Mus musculus: one gene and its partner. The protein of the gene in region 1 interacts with the protein of each later gene in a biochemical or structural test. Links are inferred from orthologs where the notes say so. Each region holds a gene or a part of one and is shown in the gene's direction. Other genes may lie near its edges.

What was found. The genes of interacting proteins can lie anywhere in the genome.
Region 2: the proteins of Ppp1ca (region 1) and Ppp1r15a are reported together in a solved structure, tested with the Homo sapiens proteins (2 studies listed by BioGRID and IntAct, with this or other methods). The link is inferred for Mus musculus from reciprocal best matches to the Homo sapiens genes PPP1CA and PPP1R15A.

Annotation. Positions count from the first base shown.
Region 1 is NC_000085.6:4,188,994-4,194,973, forward strand, and holds the start of Ppp1ca (serine/threonine-protein phosphatase PP1-alpha catalytic subunit), read left to right. Parts: upstream 1-3,180; 5' UTR 3,181-3,223; coding exon 3,224-3,278; intron 3,279-3,751; coding exon 3,752-3,883; intron 3,884-4,028; coding exon 4,029-4,259; intron 4,260-4,773; coding exon 4,774-4,878; intron 4,879-5,473; coding exon 5,474-5,697; intron 5,698-5,778; coding exon 5,779-5,913; intron 5,914-5,980. Other genes in the region: Tbc1d10c (carabin), read right to left, coding at 1-65, 220-326, 413-520, 871-970, 1,671-1,816. UniProt on the Homo sapiens protein: Protein phosphatase that associates with over 200 regulatory proteins to form highly specific holoenzymes which dephosphorylate hundreds of biological targets.
Region 2 is NC_000073.6:45,522,697-45,528,568, reverse strand, and holds Ppp1r15a (protein phosphatase 1 regulatory subunit 15A), read left to right. Parts: upstream 1-2,300; 5' UTR 2,301-2,574; intron 2,575-3,177; 5' UTR 3,178-3,186; coding exon 3,187-4,830; intron 4,831-4,922; exon of another isoform or gene 4,923-5,106; coding exon of another isoform or gene 5,107-5,108; intron 5,109-5,246; coding exon 5,247-5,576; 3' UTR 5,577-5,652; downstream 5,653-5,872. UniProt on the Homo sapiens protein: Recruits the serine/threonine-protein phosphatase PPP1CA to prevents excessive phosphorylation of the translation initiation factor eIF-2A/EIF2S1, thereby reversing the shut-off of protein synthesis initiated by stress-inducible kinases and facilitating recovery of cells from stress.

The DNA of each region.
Region 1 (5,980 bases):
GGCAGTATCCCTGCTCTGGCCGGTACAGGGTGTAGGCCTTGAGAACCTGCAGCAGCCCCTGCTGCCTGTGCCAAAAGAGCTCATTAAGGCTAGCCTCCCAGGCATCCCCCTGCCTGCCCTCTGTGGCCTCTGCCCAGGCCAGAGTCTCCCTCGTCCAAGGATGTAAAAGTAGAACTAAAGAATCTAGCATGAGGAGCGTGGGTATCCCTGGCCTCGTACCCGTGTCCCTGGGGTGACACAAACATCTCATGCAGAGGAAACTGACGGTGCAAGTCTCTGCCAATGGTCTCCATCCACTGCGGGTCCCCGGGGGCTGCTGCCAGCTCCTGTTGGTGGGAGGAAGGGAGATATGGAGGGTCAGGTGGCAGGGAGCTCTGAGAAGGGGTAGTAAAGATCCTGCCAACTTTCTTACCTGGTAGGTGCCAGGGTTGTTCTTCTGACACATCCGGGCCCCACACAGGAGGGGCCAACACCGGGCACGCAGGGCTGAGGGGATGCCCTTGCGGCACTGGATCTTTACCTGTGGGTGAGGTCAGATGCATTAGGGTTTCTTCTGCTCTCTTGCTCTCAGGCACAGCTTGCTTGCTTCTTTCTTTCGGTCTTTTCCTTCCTTCCTTTCTTTTTTTGGTTTTTGGATACAGGGTTTCTCTTTATAGCCCTGGCTGTCCTGGAACTCACTCTGTAGACCAGGCTGGCCTTTAACTCAGAAATCCGCCTGCCTCTGCCTCCCAAGTGTTAGGATTAAAGGTGTGCGCCACCATTGCCCAGCTCTAAGCACAGCTTTTCTTTGGTCAAGAGTCCACTTGGGAAGCAGAAGCAGGGGGATTGAGAACTTTGGGAACCAGTGTATGTACACCTCTTTTTCCTTACCTTCTTGTATCGTCGGGACATGGTCTTCTCCCAGTGTAAGGTCATTTCCACCCATTTCATCTCTCGCTGGCGGATGAGGTCTGCAGAGGGTTGACAAAGCCTGGAGGCACACAACAGACACAGTATCAAAGGTAAAGGAAGGGGATTTGGGTTTCAATAGGGATAGAAACTGGCCAGGCGTGGTGGAGCACTTTAATCCCAGCACTCGGGAGGCAGAGGCAGGCAGATTTCTGAGTTCGAGGCCAGCCTGGTCTACAGAGTGAGTTCCAGGACAGCCAGGGCTATACAGAGAAACCCTGTCTTGAAACAAACAAACAAACAAACAAACAAACAAACAGGAATAAAGGGATAGAAGCTGGAAAGACTAATGGGATGAGGAGGTATTTAGGGTAGGTCTATTTGGCTGTCCCCTAAAACAGAGACAGAGCTAACTCATAGGGGAAGCTGGGTGGATAGTGCCCTGGACTGGAAGCCTGAAGTCCTGAGTCTGAATCTGCTTCTTTTTCTGATCTGCTGTGCGATGTGTCAAGTTTCTGTCTGTGATTAACTGTGTAAGGGAAACCTGGAGAAGAGAAGACATCCAAATTTCCATCTGGGGTTCTTGGACCAGAGGTTAAAAGGGAAAGGATGTTCAGCTTTAGGGGAAGGTACAGATCGTCAGAGGATAAAGAGATAAAGCACACCCCACCCCCACCCCCACCCCACCACGCGGAACCGAGCAGTGACACCAGCAGCTGAGTTTTGGGCTAGTGTCCTCAGTCTCTGGACCCTACTCTCTCCCCTACCCATGCCTCACTCACCTCAGTTCACCTGAGTTGCCCCCAATGAAGCCATAACGGTCAGCCTGGCGATATGGACTGGGCCCACTCAGCTCTGAGTCAGACCCTAGGGAGCTAGAATCATCCTGTAGTTCTGATAACAAGTCCTCTCCCAGGGCCTGGGCCATTCTGCCCTGGACCCCAGTGTCACAGGCTGCAAGACATACAGAGAGCCAGTGTGAACAGCCAGACTCAGGCTGGGGATTCCAGCCACCAGTCCTCAGTCACAGGGGACTAAGCCCCCTCTTTTGCTGGGGAGTCGGGTAGACCCTGAGACCAAGTCTCTGTGCAGAGCCCCAGCCCCAAGCCTGGCCCCTACCCCAGCAGCCCGGCTCACCTCCTTGCTGCACCTCACCTCTTCTTCTCACTTCCTCCTCAGTCTCAGCTCAGCAGCTTGCTGGGGGCCCCTCCCTGGTGGGGGGACTCCCCCCTTCCTCTGTGAGGTTCTTCCTGCTTGCCCTAGTGCCAGAGCCACGACCTCCTCCCATCCAGAGGATGCTGGGTGTATTGATTCCCTGGCTGGCCCAAATTGAAGATGACAGGCCACCTTCAGTTTTACCAAGTAAAACCAATTTATGGTTCCAATAATAATTATCCTTTAATGTCATCCCACCCCTCCAACCCCCTGCCCCGGGTTTTTTGTTTTGTTTTGTTTTGAGAGTGAAGGGGTAGTGTGAGAACAGGGTCTTATGTAGCCCAGACAGGAGATGACCCTGAACTTCTGATCCTCCTGTGTCCAGACTCCTGAGTGCAGGAATTTCAGGCACTGGAATTATAGGTTTACGACACCAAGCCTACTTTAATGTTCCTTCCAGAGCCGGAGCTGGAACCTCAGGCCTTGCACATGCTAGACAAGTCCAAGTACTCTACAAAGGACTTACAACATGAACGAGATACAACGTATTACATCACTTATGGAAAAAAAATGGACGTAGCAGGCACCAAGGCAACCTGGACCAAAACACTGCTTAGAGTTCAGTAGCAGGTGTTCATGGGTCTGGCCATAAAGATGGAGGTGAATGTGAGGCTCCGGAGGTCTGGAGCCCACTCTCAGTATCATTAAGCCTTAGTTTCTTTTTCTGCACTTCGAGGAATTTATTTAGTGTTTGAGAAGTCAGCGATTAACATGCTCATACCACAGTCCCACGCAGGGCTGGGGTGGGAGAGACTTGGAAAGAGAAAAACAATTCCTACAGTACTTCCGGCCCTAACTCATCTGAACGCGGCAGGGCGATTCCTCCAGGGTGGAGCCGACCTAACCCCGCCCTACCGAACCCCGGCTCACCACCCCTGCCAGCCCCGCCCGCTCGCCCGAGGCCCTCTCGGGCTGCGGAGCTTCCCGTCCAGGGGAGGCGCTAGAGAGCGGGGAACTACGGACGCGGCAGGGCGGGGCGGGGCGGTCGACCGAAGAGGAGGGGCGGCGGGCCGGGGGCGGGCTGGGGAGGGCGGAAGGAGAGCCAGGCCGGAAGGAGGCTGTAAGAGGGCGGGAGGCAGGAGAGGGCCCGGAGCTGGTGGGCCGGAGCGGCGGCGCCGCCATGTCCGACAGCGAGAAGCTCAACCTGGACTCCATCATCGGGCGCCTGCTGGAAGGTGGGCAGGGGTAGGGAAGGTGCGCTCGCGCCGAGCCCGGGCCCCTCGCCGTCTGGAAGTGGCGCGCGGGCGGCCCGCCGCTCCCGGGGGCTAGCGTCGCTTGGGCGGGGACAGGCCGTGAGGATCCATGGCCACGGCACCCCCCCCCCCCGCGGGCGCCTGGGCTTTGGAGCGCGCTCAGAGGCCGGGGGTGCACGAGTGCCCGGGACTCAGGGTGAGGCTCCTGCGAAGCTAGCTGGGAAGGGATCCCGAAGCGAGGAAGCTTCGGCTGACAGGCTGCTGAGCACAGGCGTTTCTCTGGAGGCCCTCCGGGTGGCTAAGGGGTCGGATCTTGCCTTTGAAGGCCTGACGCAAAGGTTTCGGGGTGAGGGGGTGGGGGCTCACTTGCAACAGTTGCCCCTGTTAGGGGGGCGCGACACCTACCCTCGTCCGGTCTGCGAGGTCAGGGTCCCAAGACCCTATTCCGTACTCAGTGCAGGGCTCACGGCCTGGGAAGAACGTGCAGCTGACAGAGAACGAGATCCGTGGTCTGTGCCTCAAATCCCGGGAGATTTTCCTGAGCCAGCCCATTCTTCTGGAGCTTGAGGCGCCCCTCAAGATCTGTGGTAAATCCTTGCACAGAACCCTTTTGCTTCCTGAAAATAGCCCCTACTCGTGCCCCATTAACCGTGTTCCTCCACCCTTTAACCTATTGCTGGCCCTGGGGTCAAGTTTACATCTTGCACCTACCTAGTTTTCTCTGGTTCCCAGGTGACATCCATGGCCAGTACTATGACCTTCTACGGCTGTTTGAGTATGGTGGCTTCCCTCCAGAGAGCAACTACCTCTTCTTGGGGGATTATGTAGATCGGGGCAAGCAGTCTTTGGAGACCATCTGCCTGTTGCTGGCCTATAAGATCAGATACCCGGAGAATTTCTTTCTACTTCGTGGGAACCATGAGTGTGCCAGCATCAACCGCATTTATGGCTTCTATGATGAATGTAAGTGCTTTGAATGTTGCTGTCTGCCCAGAACTACATTCCCTGCTCTTCATGGGCCCCCTACATTGGTCTAGTGCCAAAAGACCCCCAATGATGAGCCCTGTAGGGCCCCAGCAACACGTCTGTCGTCCTTGGCGCTCAGGAGGGGCCTGGTGAATGGATGTACATGCAGGGCTGCCCATTTGCTAAAGCCACAGCCCTGCCTGATGACACCCCCTTCTAGTACATTCCTTAGTAAACATTTAGGATGCCTGTATGAATAAAACAGACCCACTCCTGGTTTGGCCTCATCCATGGGACCAGAGTGGGTACCACCATCATGGTTGGGCCAGACGAGTTCAGGTGTTGGAATTCTGGAAGGTAGATGAGGGTAGAGCAAAGAGAAGAATGTAAGCTTTCTTTGCTTTTCGGTCTTTTTTTCTCAGCTTTGTCCCTGGATGGGTGCACAGAAACCTAGACTGGGGTTGGGGGTTGGGGGTGTAGTCTTCCCTATGAGCCGCTTCCTTTTGCGCAGGCAAGAGAAGATACAACATCAAACTGTGGAAGACGTTCACTGACTGCTTCAACTGCCTGCCCATTGCAGCCATTGTGGATGAGAAGATCTTCTGCTGCCACGGGGGTGAGAGTGGTTGTGGGTCTGTGCTTGGGTTCTTGGGCCACATCCTTAGGGGCCTTGTAAAGTTAACAGAACTCTTCTCAGTTCCCTGGAATAGCGCTCCTTGAATCTCATCTTGGATATCGCTTATTAGGGGAGATTACCACACCCCCGTTTGTTTTTGAGACTGGCTTTCTGGGTAAAACCCTGACAGTCCTGGAACTCACTTTGTAGACCTGGTTGGCCTTGAACTCACTAGAGCTCCTGCCTATCTCTGACTCCCAAGTGATGGGATTAAAGGCATGCTCCACCCACCAGTTTGGTTGCACTCTTTCCTGTTGTGGCATGAGGCATCCTGTAGTCAACTCATTAATCTCCTTCTGCCCCCCCACCCCCGAGGTCTGCTATCTGTACTTCTAAGTGGTGGTGTCATATAAAGTGAGTTCCAGGACAGCCAAGGCCACAGAGAAATGGGGCCAGTGGGGAAGTAATGGATTCTGTCTCCCTGAACTTAAGGAGCCCAGATTAGCGGTGGGAACAGTGGAGCTGTCCCACCCCAGAGCTGGGCACAGGACAGCACTTGGTTTAAGGAACACTATTCCCACTCCACCACCCCCAGGCCTGTCTCCAGACTTGCAATCCATGGAGCAGATTAGGCGTATTATGCGGCCCACAGACGTGCCTGACCAGGGCCTACTGTGTGATCTCCTGTGGTCTGACCCTGACAAGGATGTTCAAGGCTGGGGCGAGAATGACCGTGGTGTCTCCTTTACCTTTGGGGCTGAGGTGGTAGCCAAGTTCCTGCACAAGCATGATTTGGACCTCATCTGCAGAGCACATCAGGTGGGCTGGTGGCCTGGGGCGGGCTGGGGGTGGGGGTGGGGTGCCTAACTTACAGACTAAACCGTTCCTGCCCTGGCCCAGGTTGTAGAAGATGGCTATGAGTTCTTTGCCAAGAGACAGTTGGTGACACTCTTCTCAGCTCCCAACTACTGTGGAGAGTTTGACAATGCTGGTGCCATGATGAGTGTGGATGAGACCCTCATGTGTTCCTTCCAGGTGGGTGTGGGGAAGAGGCTGCCCAATAGACGCCTGGCTCAACCCCAGGACCCTGATGAGTGTTTTC
Region 2 (5,872 bases), on another chromosome or scaffold:
TGAGAATGCAGGACAATCAGAAATTCAAATTATAAAAGCAGAACCTTTGTACAAATTCAAAAAATGCAGATGCCTGCCTGTGAAGACAGAGAGTCTGTTTAGCAGGGTTCTCCACACTGTGTTGAGGTCACTCTCTTGTAACCTCCACACTGGGTAGGACTGCTGAGTGTTCGGGGCAGCTGGCCTACACGGGTTCAGTTCAGCCCAGATTGCATAGTAAGTTCCAGGCACTTCTGGAATACAACACAGGTCCCTGTCCAAAGACAAAAACAAAAAACAAAAAACAAAAAACAAAAAACAAAAACAAAAACAAAAAAAAAGAAAACAGAAACGTGCACTAAAAAAAAAAAAAAAAAAAAAAAATAGACATAGAAGAAGGAGGGTCCATGAGGGCAGACCTCAGAAGAGGTTGATGCTCCTCTGTACACAGGAAGAGAATTGCCCAAGATTCTTACCCTGTGAGTCCCAGGACAGTGTGGACATACTGTAAGACCCTGTTCAAAACAGACAGACTGGGCAGGCATGGTGGTACATGCCTTTAATCTCAGCACTCAGAAGGAAGCAGCAGGTAGATTTCTGTGAGTTCCAGACCAGCCTAGCCTACAGAGTGAGTTTCAGGGCAGCCAGGGCTATACTGAAAATCCCTGTCTGAAAACAAGACAAAAAACAGACAGATCCACCAAAAACAACTAAAGGACCAGAAAGATGGGTCAGGGCTTAAGTGCTTGCTATTCTTTGCAGAGGACCCAAATTTAGTCCCCAGATTGCTCCATGTGGAGCTTCACAAACATCTTAACTCCAGTTCTACAAGATCAGATGCCATCTTCCGACCTCCTTGTACACCATACAGACATGATATATAATATACACACAGAGGAGAGGGGGAGAGGGAGAGAGAGAGAGAGAGAAAACACTCACATAAAGATTAAAAGAAGGGGGCTGGAGAGATGGCTCAGCGGTTAAGAACACTCACTGCTCTTCCAGAGGGCCTGAGTTCAATTCCCAGCAACCACATGGTGGCTCACAACCATCTGTAATGGGATCTGATGCCCTCTTCTGGTGTGTCTGAAGACAGCTACTGTGTACTCATGTACAGAAAATAAATAAAAAAATTTAAAAAAAAAAAAAAAAAAAAAAAAAAAAAGATTAAAAGAAAATCTTGGTTTTTGTCTTTTTTTTTTTTTTTTTTGCCTGTGAGGTGTGAGATAGCAGCCACTGTTCTGGCGGGGGGTGGGGGGGGTGTTGGTTTTTTGTTTTTGTTTTGTTTTTTCGAGACTGGGTTTTTCTGTATAGCCCTGGCTGTCCTGGAACTCACTTTGTAGATCAGGCTGGCCTCGAACTCAGAAATCCACCTGCCTCTGCCTCCTGAGTGCTGGGATCAAAGGCGTGCGCCACGCCTGGCTGTCACTGTTCTCTGAGCCATCTCACCAGCCTTTAATCCGGGAATCAGGAGGCCGAGGCAATCGGATCTCAGTGAGCTCTAGGCTAGCCTAGTCTACAAAGTTGTGTTCCAGGACAACCAGAAACTAGTCTTGGAAAAACAAACAAAGGCTGGAGAGATGGCTCAGTGGTTAAGAACACTGGCTGCTCTTCCAGAGGTCCTGTGTTCAATTCTCAGTAACCACAAGGTGGCTCACAACCATCTGTAATGGGATCTTATGACCTGTTCTAGCACGTAGGTAAACAAGCAGACAGACCACTCCTACATTTAAAAAAAATACATAAATAAAATTTAAAAACATTGGGTGTTTTGTCTTCTAATAAAAATCCATTGCTAACAGGGGAGTGGTGGCTGGGACCTTTAATCCCAACATTTAGAAGGTAGAGGCTGGTGGATCATTGAGTTTGAAGCCAGCCTGATCTACCAGCCTGATCAGCCACGGATACTCAGAAAAATCCTGTTTCGAACCCCCCCCACTCTCCAAAAAAAAAAAAAAAAAAAAAAAAAAGTCACTCTTGCTTGGAGAAAAAAGGTCGGAAGTCTTGGTGTACGCCCTTAATCCTAGCACTCTGGAGACAGTAGCAGGAGGATTACAGAGATGGAAACCAGTCCCAGCCTCTCAAATAAAGAAAATAAAAGGAAAGGGAAATGGCACGGTACGTGACTGCCAGATAAGGTTCGCGTACTTGCTCGGAAATTACGTGAGATCGACGGCTCTCTCGATTGAGCCTAGGGCACGCCTGAGAAGCTGCGGTGACCTCACAGAGCGCGGAGTCTCCGCGAGAAGTTCAGTGTTGTTTTCCTCTTTCCACCTTTCCCAGGGACTTCCGAGACCCCGCCTCTCCGGTGACGTCAGCACAGCGCCGCGTCAGGGTATAAAAGCCGCGTGGACGATGTTGGCGCAGATTGAGTCAGCTCTGAGTTTGTGGAAGATTACATGCGATATCCCGCGCGACCCCGCATCCCTTTGCCGGCCGGGACAGCCTTTGCTACAGCCTGTGAAACATTGCGTCCCCGAGCCCCACGCCTGAGGGCGACATGAACCCGCTGGCTTCGCGAGCAGTCCGGACCCACGATCGCTTTTGGCAACCAGAACCGGCGCTTCAGCCCCCGGGGTGACGTGCAGCCCGCCGGTGAGTGGGGGATGGGGCGGCCTTTGAGGGAGGACTCTCTGGCGAGGAGACTGGAGAGAGTTGTGGAATCTGAGGGGGCAAGCTGGAGGGCGATTCCAGGTTTGGGGAAAAGGCACAGAAGCCCAGATGGCTTATTTGGTCTGAGAGAGGAGAGCCCACGTCTACACTCTTCGTTTAAAGGGAAAGGGGCCGGGAGGCTCGACCGGCAATATCTGTATAGCGCCAAATAAAGGGAAGGACCCCAGGAGGAATAACCAGGGTCCGAGGGGTAGGCAGAGGGAGGTTTTAGGGGCATGAACACAAGCTTGAGGAACGAAAGGTCACTAAAAAGCCAGACTCTTACAGGTCTGAGAAGGGCTGGCCAGGAACTGTGACTGGGGCTAAGGGAAGGGTTTAAGAGTGTGGGCTCTTGGTTCTAAGGATGTAGAGCTTGGGTGTTGAGAGAGATTAACCAAGTGGCAGAGTTGGGTGTGAGCAATGTTATTTGGAATTCGAGGCAGGCATTCACGTGTTGCTGCTGTGACTATTTGTTACCATGACTCAGTGCTGTGACCCGAGACTGTTTCCCAGAGCGACTTCTAAACAAATTTCCCCCCTTTCTAGCCCAGACACATGGCCCCGAGCCCAAGACCCCAGCATGTCCTGCACTGGAGGGACGCCCACAACTTCTATCTCCTGTCCCCACTGATGGGCTTGCTCAGTCGGGCCTGGAGCCGCCTGAGGGGCCCAGAAGTCCCAGAGGCATGGCTGGCAAAAACAGTAACAGGAGCAGATCAGATAGAAGCTGCGGCTCTGCTGACACCTACCCCTGTCTCTGGTAACCTCCTCCCTCATGGGGAGACTGAAGAAAGTGGATCTCCTGAACAGAGTCAAGCAGCCCAGAGGCTCTGCCTTGTGGAAGCTGAAAGTTCCCCTCCTGAAACTTGGGGACTTTCAAATGTTGATGAGTACAATGCAAAGCCAGGACAAGATGACCTTAGAGAGAAGGAAATGGAACGCACAGCTGGCAAGGCCACACTACAGCCCGCTGGCCTGCAAGGGGCTGATAAGAGGCTTGGGGAGGTGGTGGCTAGAGAAGAGGGAGTGGCTGAGCCCGCTTATCCCACATCACAGCTGGAGGGTGGTCCAGCTGAGAATGAAGAGGATGGAGAAACAGTGAAGACTTACCAAGCTTCTGCTGCTTCCATAGCTCCGGGATACAAACCCAGCACCCCTGTGCCTTTCTTGGGGGAGGCAGAACATCAAGCCACGGAAGAAAAAGGAACAGAAAACAAGGCTGACCCCTCCAACTCTCCTTCTTCAGGCTCCCACTCCAGAGCCTGGGAGTACTACTCTAGAGAGAAGCCTAAGCAGGAGGGAGAAGCCAAGGTAGAGGCACACAGGGCAGGGCAGGGTCACCCTTGTCGGAATGCTGAGGCTGAGGAAGGAGGACCTGAGACAACTTTTGTCTGTACTGGAAATGCCTTCCTGAAGGCCTGGGTGTATCGCCCAGGAGAGGACACAGAGGAAGAAGACAACAGCGATTCGGATTCAGCTGAGGAAGACACAGCTCAGACCGGTGCCACCCCCCATACAAGTGCCTTCCTGAAGGCCTGGGTGTATCGCCCAGGAGAGGACACAGAGGAAGAAGACAGCGATTCGGATTCAGCTGAGGAAGACACAGCTCAGACCGGTGCCACCCCCCATACAAGTGCCTTCCTGAAGGCCTGGGTGTATCGCCCAGGAGAGGACACAGAGGAAGAAAACAGCGATTTGGATTCAGCTGAGGAAGACACAGCTCAGACCGGTGCCACCCCCCATACAAGTGCCTTCCTGAAGGCCTGGGTGTATCGCCCAGGAGAGGACACAGAGGAAGAAAACAGCGATTTGGATTCAGCTGAGGAAGACACAGCTCAGACCGGTGCCACCCCACATACAAGTCCCTTCCTGAAGGCCTGGGTGTATCGCCCAGGAGAGGACACAGAAGATGACACAGAAGAGGAAGAGGACAGTGAGAATGTGGCCCCAGGTGACTCAGAAACAGCTGACTCAAGCCAGAGTCCCTGCCTTCAGCCCCAGCGTTGTCTACCAGGAGAGAAGACCAAGGGACGTGGGGAAGAGCCCCCTCTCTTCCAGGTGGCCTTCTATTTACCCGGAGAGAAGCCAGAATCACCTTGGGCTGCACCTAAGCTGCCCCTTCGACTGCAGAGGCGGCTCAGATTGTTCAAAGCCCCCACCCGGGATCAGGACCCCGAGATTCCTCTAAAAGCTCGGAAGGTGAGTGTTAGACTAGATTCTAAAGCCGCTTACTTTGTGGCTCAGGAATTTATAGTCCTAGGGCTGGGATTACAATAGAATTCCACACTGCCTTTTTTTTTTCTTTAATATATAATTTATTCAAAGGGCCTAGATTCTGAGTCGGGAGGAGGAAGAGTCTGGGACCTGAAAATCCCTAAGGAAGTGTGTTGGAGGCGGAGACTCCAGGGAAGCCATGGGTTGCGACTTCTTGCATATGAACTCTGCTGGGAAGGCTGTGTTCACTCTCTTGCAATCTCCTGTAAGAGGCAGGGAGAGTGGTAGTTGTGGCCTGGACATCTGTGTCTTAGAGTGAATCAGAGGGGCAGGCAGGTGACTATTCAAATACCAAACATTTTTGCGTGACAGACTTTTTTATTTATTGTCCCCGTCCCCAGGTACACTTCGCTGAGAAAGTCACAGTCCATTTCCTTGCTGTCTGGGCAGGACCAGCCCAAGCTGCCCGTCGAGGTCCCTGGGAGCAGTTTGCACGAGATCGAAGCCGCTTTGCTCGACGCATTGCCCAGGCAGAGGAGAAGCTGGGTCCCTACCTTACCCCTGATTCCAGGGCCAGAGCATGGGCACGCCTTAGAAACCCATCTCTTCCACAGTCCGAGCCTCGCTCTTCCTCTGAGGCCACTCCCTTGACCCAAGATGTGACCACACCCTCTCCCCTTCCCAGTGAAACCCCTTCGCCCAGCCTGTACTTGGGAGGGAGGCGGGGCTAAGCCTGAGTAGTTTCCTATTATTTATTTATTTATTTATTTGAATAAGAAATAAAGCCTTTTAATTTGTAGTGATAAACTCTTACGTGTGTTCTTTATTGGTAGCTTCCGGGGAGGCTAAAAATGGTGTCCAAACTTTAGTTTAAGACCAACTTGATCTAGTGAGACCCTCTTAAAACACAGTCCTGTGTAAGGGACTTCCTTATGTAAGGTGCCACAAGTAATCTCCGCACTGGGAAGCTGAGGCAGGAGACTGGCTTGGGTTCCAAGACAAGCATAACATAGTGTGGCTGTCTCAA